Linked DNA regions of Kluyveromyces lactis. The protein of the gene in region 1 purifies or fractionates together with the protein of each later gene. This does not show direct contact. Links are inferred from orthologs where the notes say so. Each region holds a gene or a part of one and is shown in the gene's direction. Other genes may lie near its edges.

What was found.
Region 2: the proteins of RIO1 (region 1) and RPS20 purify together in Saccharomyces cerevisiae (affinity purification with mass spectrometry; 3 studies listed by BioGRID). This does not show direct contact. The link is inferred for Kluyveromyces lactis from reciprocal best matches to the Saccharomyces cerevisiae genes RIO1 and RPS20.
Region 3: the proteins of RIO1 (region 1) and CKA1 purify together in Saccharomyces cerevisiae (affinity purification with mass spectrometry; 3 studies listed by BioGRID, with this or other methods). This does not show direct contact. The link is inferred for Kluyveromyces lactis from reciprocal best matches to the Saccharomyces cerevisiae genes RIO1 and CKA1.

The regions. Positions count from the first base shown.
Region 1 is NC_006041.1:1,885,539-1,888,634, forward strand, and holds RIO1 (protein kinase RIO1), read left to right. Parts: upstream 1-913; coding exon 914-2,494; downstream 2,495-3,096. Other genes in the region: KEI1 (Kei1p), read right to left, coding at 1-438, 554-589; RTC5 (Rtc5p), read right to left, coding at 2,547-3,096. UniProt on the Saccharomyces cerevisiae protein: Required for the final endonucleolytic cleavage at site D converting 20S pre-rRNA into the mature 18S rRNA. Required for the final steps of cytoplasmic maturation of the 40S ribosomal subunit.
Region 2 is NC_006042.1:2,371,775-2,373,745, forward strand, and holds RPS20 (40S ribosomal protein uS10), read left to right. Parts: upstream 1-945; coding exon 946-1,299; downstream 1,300-1,971. Other genes in the region: KLLA0_F25520g (URC4/urg3 family protein), read right to left, coding at 1-381. UniProt on the Saccharomyces cerevisiae protein: Component of the ribosome, a large ribonucleoprotein complex responsible for the synthesis of proteins in the cell.
Region 3 is NC_006041.1:381,345-384,600, forward strand, and holds CKA1 (casein kinase 2 catalytic subunit CKA1), read left to right. Parts: upstream 1-1,529; coding exon 1,530-2,651; downstream 2,652-3,256. Other genes in the region: CAP2 (F-actin-capping protein subunit beta), read left to right, coding at 271-1,110.

The DNA.
Region 1 (3,096 bases):
TATGATGAGGAAAAATTCATAGCCGCTAGAAGCACTCTTAGAAGTATCTACTTTAGTTGAGATCGTGGATGTGGTTCCCTCATGAGCTGGTCCAAGTGCGGTTCCCGCGCTCTTCAAGTCCGTAACGTCAGTGGAGCCCTCCTGGCTGAACCACACAGCAGTGAACCATAAGCAGTAAATGCAACTAACAATTGTGTCCACACTGAACACAAAAGTAACCGTGGACATTAAGAGGATATTGGGCTTATAAACTTGTCTTATTCCTGAAATGAATACCACTAGACAGAAAATTGACCAGATGTAAAAAGTCCATTGCACAAAGTCTAACGGGTGTCCAGTGAAAAGTGCAAGAACACCATACATCCCGCTGAATTTGTTGAAGGTTAGCACACCAAGTGCAACCTCAACACCTATGTACAAGGGATAAGACAGGAATGTCTAAAGGGCAATGTCATCTGTTAGTACATATTACTGGTATCAAAAAAAAACCATGCATCAAACGATCATGTAAAAACGTCTTTCAACTGCGGTTAAATACCCAAAAGAAACATACTTGTGGCAAATGAACCATATTTGATTGCTGCTGCATAGGAGTATAATAAGGACAAACCCTGACGTTAAAGCAAGTTGGTTTCTTCCACTTACACAGGTAGACCTTTCAATTCATCTACTGAGCGTTTTAGAATGTTTACAACTATTTCCTCTATTGAAAAGCAATTCGCGATCCTGTCTAGAGCATCGTGAAAAAAAAACGTAGGAAAAAAAAAAGTACGCTACTTTACTTTAATGGTGTACAAGATGAGCGATGAGGTTGGAATAGTGGTTATTTACAGAACAATATACGCCGTTCAGCTCCTGTGTATTGTCAAATTAGTAAATCAGAAAGCAGAAGTTATCTATAGTTGGACTACGAATGATGAATATTGACGATAAGCTGGAAAAACTGAATTTAGCCAACCGTGATGAGCATGTCAACACTCAGATCCTAGAGAGGTATGCCAATAGCATCAAAACAGATGAGTTATCATTAACTAGGGGTAAAACCAGCAAAGATAAGGCGAATAGGGCCACTGTAGAGAATGTTTTAGACCCACGTACGATGAGGTTTTTGAAATCCATGATGAACAGGGGAATATTATCAGCATTTAATGGTTGTTTGAGTACAGGTAAAGAAGCAAACGTGTACCATGCGTTTGCTGGTAATCATGAGGAGAGACATCTGCTGGTAGAGGGACATGATGATACAATAGGAGCCCCACAAAATATTGAATCAACAAAACAAAAAGCTCTAACTGCCGAATCTGAGGATGCCACATCCACTTCAACTGCCACTGATGAACCAAAAAATAAGAAGGAATACGCGGTGAAGATTTACAAGACATCTATCTTGGTTTTTAAGGATCGTGAAAGATACGTTGATGGTGAATTTAGATTCAGAAATTCGAGATCTCAACATAATCCTCGTAAGATGATCAAAATTTGGGCTGAAAAGGAATTTAGAAACTTGAAGAGAATATACCAAAGCGGTGTCATACCTTGTCCAAAACCAATAGAAGTTAGATCAAACGTTTTAGTCATGGAATTTTTAAATAGAGGAGATGGTTTCGCATCTCCGAGGCTTAAAGATCATCCTTACAAAGATAGAGAAGAAATTAAACATTACTACAATTTAATGATAGCGTACATGAGACTGTTATATCAGGTATGTCGCTTAGTTCATGCAGACTTGAGTGAGTATAATAGTATTGTACATGAGGATAAGCTTTATATTATTGATGTTTCGCAATCCGTACAACCAGAACATCCTATGTCTCTAGATTTCCTAAGAATGGATATTAAGAATGTTAACTCATATTTCCAAAAATTGGGAATTGACATTTTCCCTGAACGGGTGATCTTCCAGTTCATCATCAGTGAGGTCTTAGACAAATTCAAGGGTGATTACAGATCAAGCGATGATCTAGAAACATATGTTGCCGACAATTTACCTCTAAAGTTGACTGATGAAGACGAAGCTGAAGATGAAGTGTTCAGATCTTTACATTTGATAAGAAATTTGGGTGGTTTAGAGGAAAGAGATTTTGATAGATTCACTGATGGTAAATTTGACCTACTGAAATCATTAATTGCTAATGAAAACAGGAAATATTCCGAAAATTTCACAGCATCGGAGCAATATGAACTCTCTTCTTCTGATGACGAGGAAGATGACGTAGATGGTGATGATCTCCCTAACCTCGTAACGGATATCAATGAAGATGACATAGCTGGATCAGATGAAGATGATGATAGTGATGAAACTAACGATAGTTCTGATGGTGATGGATGGGTCTCCGATAAAGACACTCCACTGAAAGGAAAAAAGTACGAAGATAAAGATGCTAAAAAACAACGTAAGCAAGAAACAAAAGAGGCCAAACGTGAAAAGAGGAAGACCAAAGTAAAAAAACACGTTAAGAAAAAGCTCATTAACAAGACGAAAAGCAAGAAATGATCAATTTAAAAATTCTATGCAATTTCAAATATTTAATATTTACTTAGCGATTTTAAATAGATCCACCGCTTTGATGTTGCCCTACAAGACCTGCCATTTCCAATAATGCACGATCTTCTCCCATGCTTTGTAAGTTGATCTTTTGCCTTCTTTTGGCTTCGGCCTCTTCCCATTGCCATTGCTTTACTTGCTCTTCGAGCTCTTTTTCTCCTCCGCATCCCCACACTTCTACATCTTGGATTATGAATCGGTATTCGAACGAATTCCGTTCTTCTCCACGTCCACTTATTAGACGGCCAGGCTTAAAACTCCCACCTGCTCCCAAATGTCTAAATATACCGAACTCGAGAGATGAATCAATAGTAAGTGAAACATTTCCTGGGAAGTATTTTTTACCGTTAGCTTTGATGATAGGTTGAGAGCTACCAATACCTATACCTCCCCCAACAGTGTTGAAATATACGTTTCCTGTCTTGAATGGGTCCGCATCGAAGATCTCTTGTCTTGGATGAAGTTGGATAATTTTTGTAGACGAATCACCAAACAAATCTTTATTTGATACTTTCCATGGGTCGCGAATACAAACAGCAAATAACAATTTT
Region 2 (1,971 bases), on another chromosome or scaffold:
AACAAAAGACCATTCTGAACCTGCACCAGCATCGACAATCACACTAAACGTTATCAAATCAATCAACCGTCTGCATACCTCCAAAGGATCGATGTTCTGGGCAGCCCAGGAATTAATGAGAGATCCCATTCTATCAATACCGTTACAGTTTAAATGTTGCCATCTTCCATGAACAGGAATATCGCCTAGGTTCTTGTAATCTCTTTCAATAATATTGACCAAGTAATCTGTCACTTTCGACATTTTACCCAGATCCACTTCAAAATGTGTACTGTCACCATTTTCTGTTTGCAAAGGGGGGCCGTATACTTTCTTACAAGTTTCCCTAACGGATTGAATGGATCTTAAGTACTCCAAGTCTTCGCATTCTGTGTGTGTCATGATAAATAGCCAGTATGTTGGTTTTTGACAGTTTCAACGGGAGATAATATACAATGCCATCAGAATTAGTTTAAGCGAAGTATCAACTGGGATAGAACTATTTCATTCACTAATGAGTGTATTTATATACTTCGTGGATGGTACACATACATTATCCTTAATTCAATCCTAAGTGTATTGGAACGTTAGTTTGCACAAAAAAGGCATTCTTATCTTTTGCAATTGACCTGTTTCGTTATTCTGGCAACGATTGATCCTTAATGTTCAAGAATCTCCGTCGCACCTCCGACGGATATTACCGGGGACTGCTCATTCTTTATACACCCGTACATATATGCCATGGGATTCTACTTTTTTGATATAATCATCCTCTCTTTCCTAAAACAGAATACTATATGAAAATTTCATGATGTTCTATGATGTCGACAAGCTAGTGCTCCGAAGTTGAAATTCTAAGCTCTCCAAGATAGATGAGCATTAGCATGGTATTGTTAAGGTTACTTACAATTAGATATTAAGTCTATTCATGTCATAAGAAACCAATAAAACTAAAAGGTATACACGATGTCTCAAGTTGAAAAGAAATCTGAACAACAACAAGAAGTTGTGATCCACAAGATCAGAATTAACTTGACCTCCACTAAGGTCAAGCAATTGGAAAACGTTTCTGCCAACATCATCAAGAATGCTGAAACTTTCAAGTTGGTCAAGAAGGGTCCAGTCAGATTACCTACTAAGGTCTTGAAGATCTCCACCAGAAAGACCCCTAACGGTGAAGGTTCTAAGACTTGGGATACTTACGAAATGAGAATCCACAAGAGATACATCGACTTGGAAGCTCCAGCTCACATCGTCAAGAGAATCACCCAAATCACCATTGAACCTGGTGTGGATGTCGAAGTCATCATCGCTGCCTAAACGCACCGATAATGATGTATTGTCAATATCAAATTGGCATTCAATGAATAACGGGCAGGAAACTAAAGTGTTGACCAGATTTACTGCACATCCTTTGAGTTTTCTACCGACATACCTTGAATTCAAATTTTTTTATTTTACTTTTATTCGATATCCAGGTCTCAAGAAAGCTCTTGTATCCTCATTCTCTAAGATTATAGTAAGACTCCTATAAAGTATGGTCAATTGTGTTCAATATAGGATGGAACCTTTTTCTGACACTTCAAAAAATGACAACCCACTCTAGGTAGGGTAGTTTATCGTGTACCTCTATTCTACTATCAGTGGTTAAAAAATAATCATATCCTCTACCAACATCTCACTCATATTTGTTTGGTTACTGTCTGGTTTATTGGTTGCTTGAATGAGTAACTTTTTTGTTGTCATGTGTTAGTGCCCTCCATCCTTTGTGTATAATTCGTACATATTTTTTTAATGGAATATGATTTTAATCATGGGACTTCAAAGCAAGGCATTCAAGCTGACAACTCGAAGCAGAGACTTCTGCAAATGGCCTTTCTTCCACATCACTTTGTAACCCTAATTCATGTAAGAATTTCATGAACGCCAGTTTGGATGTGTTTTTTTTTTTCTTTTCGAATTTTTTTTTTTTGAAGTTTTCTTTCAAATGTA
Region 3 (3,256 bases), about 1.5 Mb from region 1:
GGCTAATAGTATTACATTAATGCATTAAGTAGGGGGTACTGTATGCAATTGACAAAGCTTTTGTTTCCATGCTTCTACTTTATTTTACTAGTGTAAGCGATACTGGCAATGTCTCTCAATAGAAAAATATCATCGATCGTATTGAAAGGAAAACTACGAAAGAAATCATTAAAGGAGTAGAAAGGGTAAATGTAAATACATCAAGCAAACTGAAGAAAACTCATTGAGCGTGGTAACTAGTTGTAAATATACTGAAGATACGGAACTAGAATGTCTGTGGACGAGAAATATGATGCTGCTTGCGAGCTTTTATACAGATTGGATCCAACAAAGGTGAAAACCCATTTACAGAACCTTATTGCGTTGGAGCCTGAAATCGCAGAAGGATTACTTTCCTCAATTGATATCCCATTGACCATTAAGAAGGATACCGATGCTAACAACAAAGAATTCTTATGTTGCGACTACAACCGTGACATCGATTCTCATAGGTCACCGTGGTCTAACCAGTACTTCCCTGAATTGAGTGCCGAAGATTTGAAAGAAAGTCCTTTTCCCAGTGAGCCATTGAGAGAACTAGAAGTTGCATGCAACAATTCTTTCGAGTTGTATAGGGACCTATACTACGAGGGTGGTTACACTTCAACGTATCTCTGGGACGTTGATGAATCAACTGATTTCGCGGGAGTCATTCTTTTCAAGAAAGCTGAATCAGATGATTCTAAATGGGACAGTATCCACGTCATATCTGCCACCCACGATGAAGAGGGTATGGAAGTCACATATAATGTCACTACAACGGTGATCTTGCACTTGGAAAACCTATCAAAAGAACAACAACTATCATTGTCCGGTAATCTAACTAGAGAAAATTCCAAGACCGTAAAATTGCAAAACGTATCTACTGTTGAACAGCTAGTACCCGCTCACTCTTCCAGCTTGGGATCTATGATTGAAGATATTGAATCTAAGCTTAGATCAATGCTCGAAATCGTGTATTTCGAAAAGACGTTGGATATTTACAACGTGTTGAGAGAACGTAACGATGATTCTACCAAATTGCAAAAGGAGCAACACTCCGAATTAATTGAAAACTTCCAGAAATTATAATCAATTGAATAAATAAAGTAAGAAATTATACACACATACACTACGTATAAATGCTAAATGAACACCATTATATTTTGCCGGTTCGTCAGTCAACACAATTATTGGCTAGAATTGTTCTATACATAAAACCGTTACCCTAACTCCTCATACTGTAGTTTCGAAATGTCAATTTTTGCAAGAGAGACATGAACTGAAAAGAAATCAGATAACCCAGAAATGAAAATTCCAGTTTGAGTATAGGCATTACAAAAGCTTCAAACGTACTGGATTATATACGGTGAGTGGTTTGGATTTCTCGGACTCATTATTACCACTGTTTATAGAAATAGAAAAGGTCAACAAAAAACTGGCTGGCAATCGTTCTCGTTGTTAATTTCGTGGTAGTTTTAGAGACTTTCCAGTACATTATTAAAAGGAAGATGAAATCGAAAGTGTGGAGTGAGGCAAGAGTCTATAGTGATGCCAACGAGATTCGTGGTCAAAGATACTGGGACTATGAAAATACATCAATAGAATGGAAGGCTAATAACTCACAGTACGAAGTTGAATGCAAAGTTGGCCGTGGTAAATATAGTGAAGTTTTCCAAGGCGTACAGTTATCCACGAGAAATAAGATTGTCATTAAGATGCTAAAACCTGTGAAGAAGAAGAAGATTAAGAGAGAAATTACCATACTTGCAAACCTCTCGAATGAGAAGAATCCGCCAACTGCGCAACCTTACGATGAGGCAAAATATTACACAAACAGAAGAGAAGAAGTACTGAAATATGCGAGAGATAAAGTATATGACTTACCTCATAACGGGCATGAGAATATTATAACATTGTTAGATGTGGTCAGAGATCCCATATCCAAGACACCTGCATTGATTTTTGAACATATCGACAATACGGAATTCCGTAGGTTGTATGCTTCATTTTCGGATCTTGATATTCGTTATTATATGTTCGAGCTTTTGAAAGCTTTGGACTACTGCCATTCGATGGGTATTATGCATAGAGACGTCAAACCACACAATGTAATGATTGACCATAAGCAACACAAATTGAGACTAATCGATTGGGGTTTGGCTGAATTTTATCATCCATCGATGGAATACAATGTCCGCGTTGCGTCAAGATTTTTCAAGGGCCCAGAACTTCTAGTTGATTATAGAATGTACGATTACTCGCTAGACTTATGGTCATTTGGAGCAATGTTAGCATCAATGGTTTTTCTGAAAGAGCCTTTCTTCTATGGGTCGAGTAATACTGACCAGCTAGTCAAGATTGTACGCGTCTTGGGTAGTGATGATTTCGAAAGATATTTACAGAAATATCAGATAACACTCCCAGATGAGTTTATTGATATGGATCAATACATCAGAAGACCATGGCAGAAATTCGTCAATGATTCCAACAAGCACCTATGTGGAAACGATGATATCATTGATTTAATCGATAATCTTCTTCGTTACGACCATCAAGAAAGATTTTCTTGTAAAGAAGCTATGGCTCATCCATGGTTTGCTCCAATTAGAAACAACGAATACACATTATAACCGTTCCATAGATCAATATTTTTATGAAGTTAATAATAATAATAATACTAATAACAACTGTGTGAGCTTTCCTATAATAAGTGTTGGAGGATATATTTTGATCGGGTGCTTCTAAATCTACGAATTTATTATTGACATTCATTGAGAAAGTTTTCAGATGTTGTGGAACTGTTTTGATCCTGAAGCTGAGCCCAGTCAAGCATTTGAAATTCTGCAATGAACGTTTTGTCTTTCAACATCAATAACTCACTCTGAACATACCTCTTGCTTTGAAGGATATTACATCCGTCACAATGAACTTCTCTGCAGTGTTCCAAAATCGATGACAAAATCTGTAGACAGAATCTGAATGCTAGTCCGAAATAGGGAACAATAGGAATTGTTAATCTTTTTCCGAACTTCATAAGATATTCCCACCTTTTCTGGAAAATAACGTGAAAGGCAGAATCCGTTCCTGCCTTTAAATCACTCCAAAATGTTTGTGAATCCAGTAATTTCTCTTTGATCAATAGTTCCATGGTGTATAGGACATGACAAGCAAACCGGATTTTTGTTACATCGTCATCGCCCAAAAGGACTAATCTAACTAGGAATTTAGAATGATA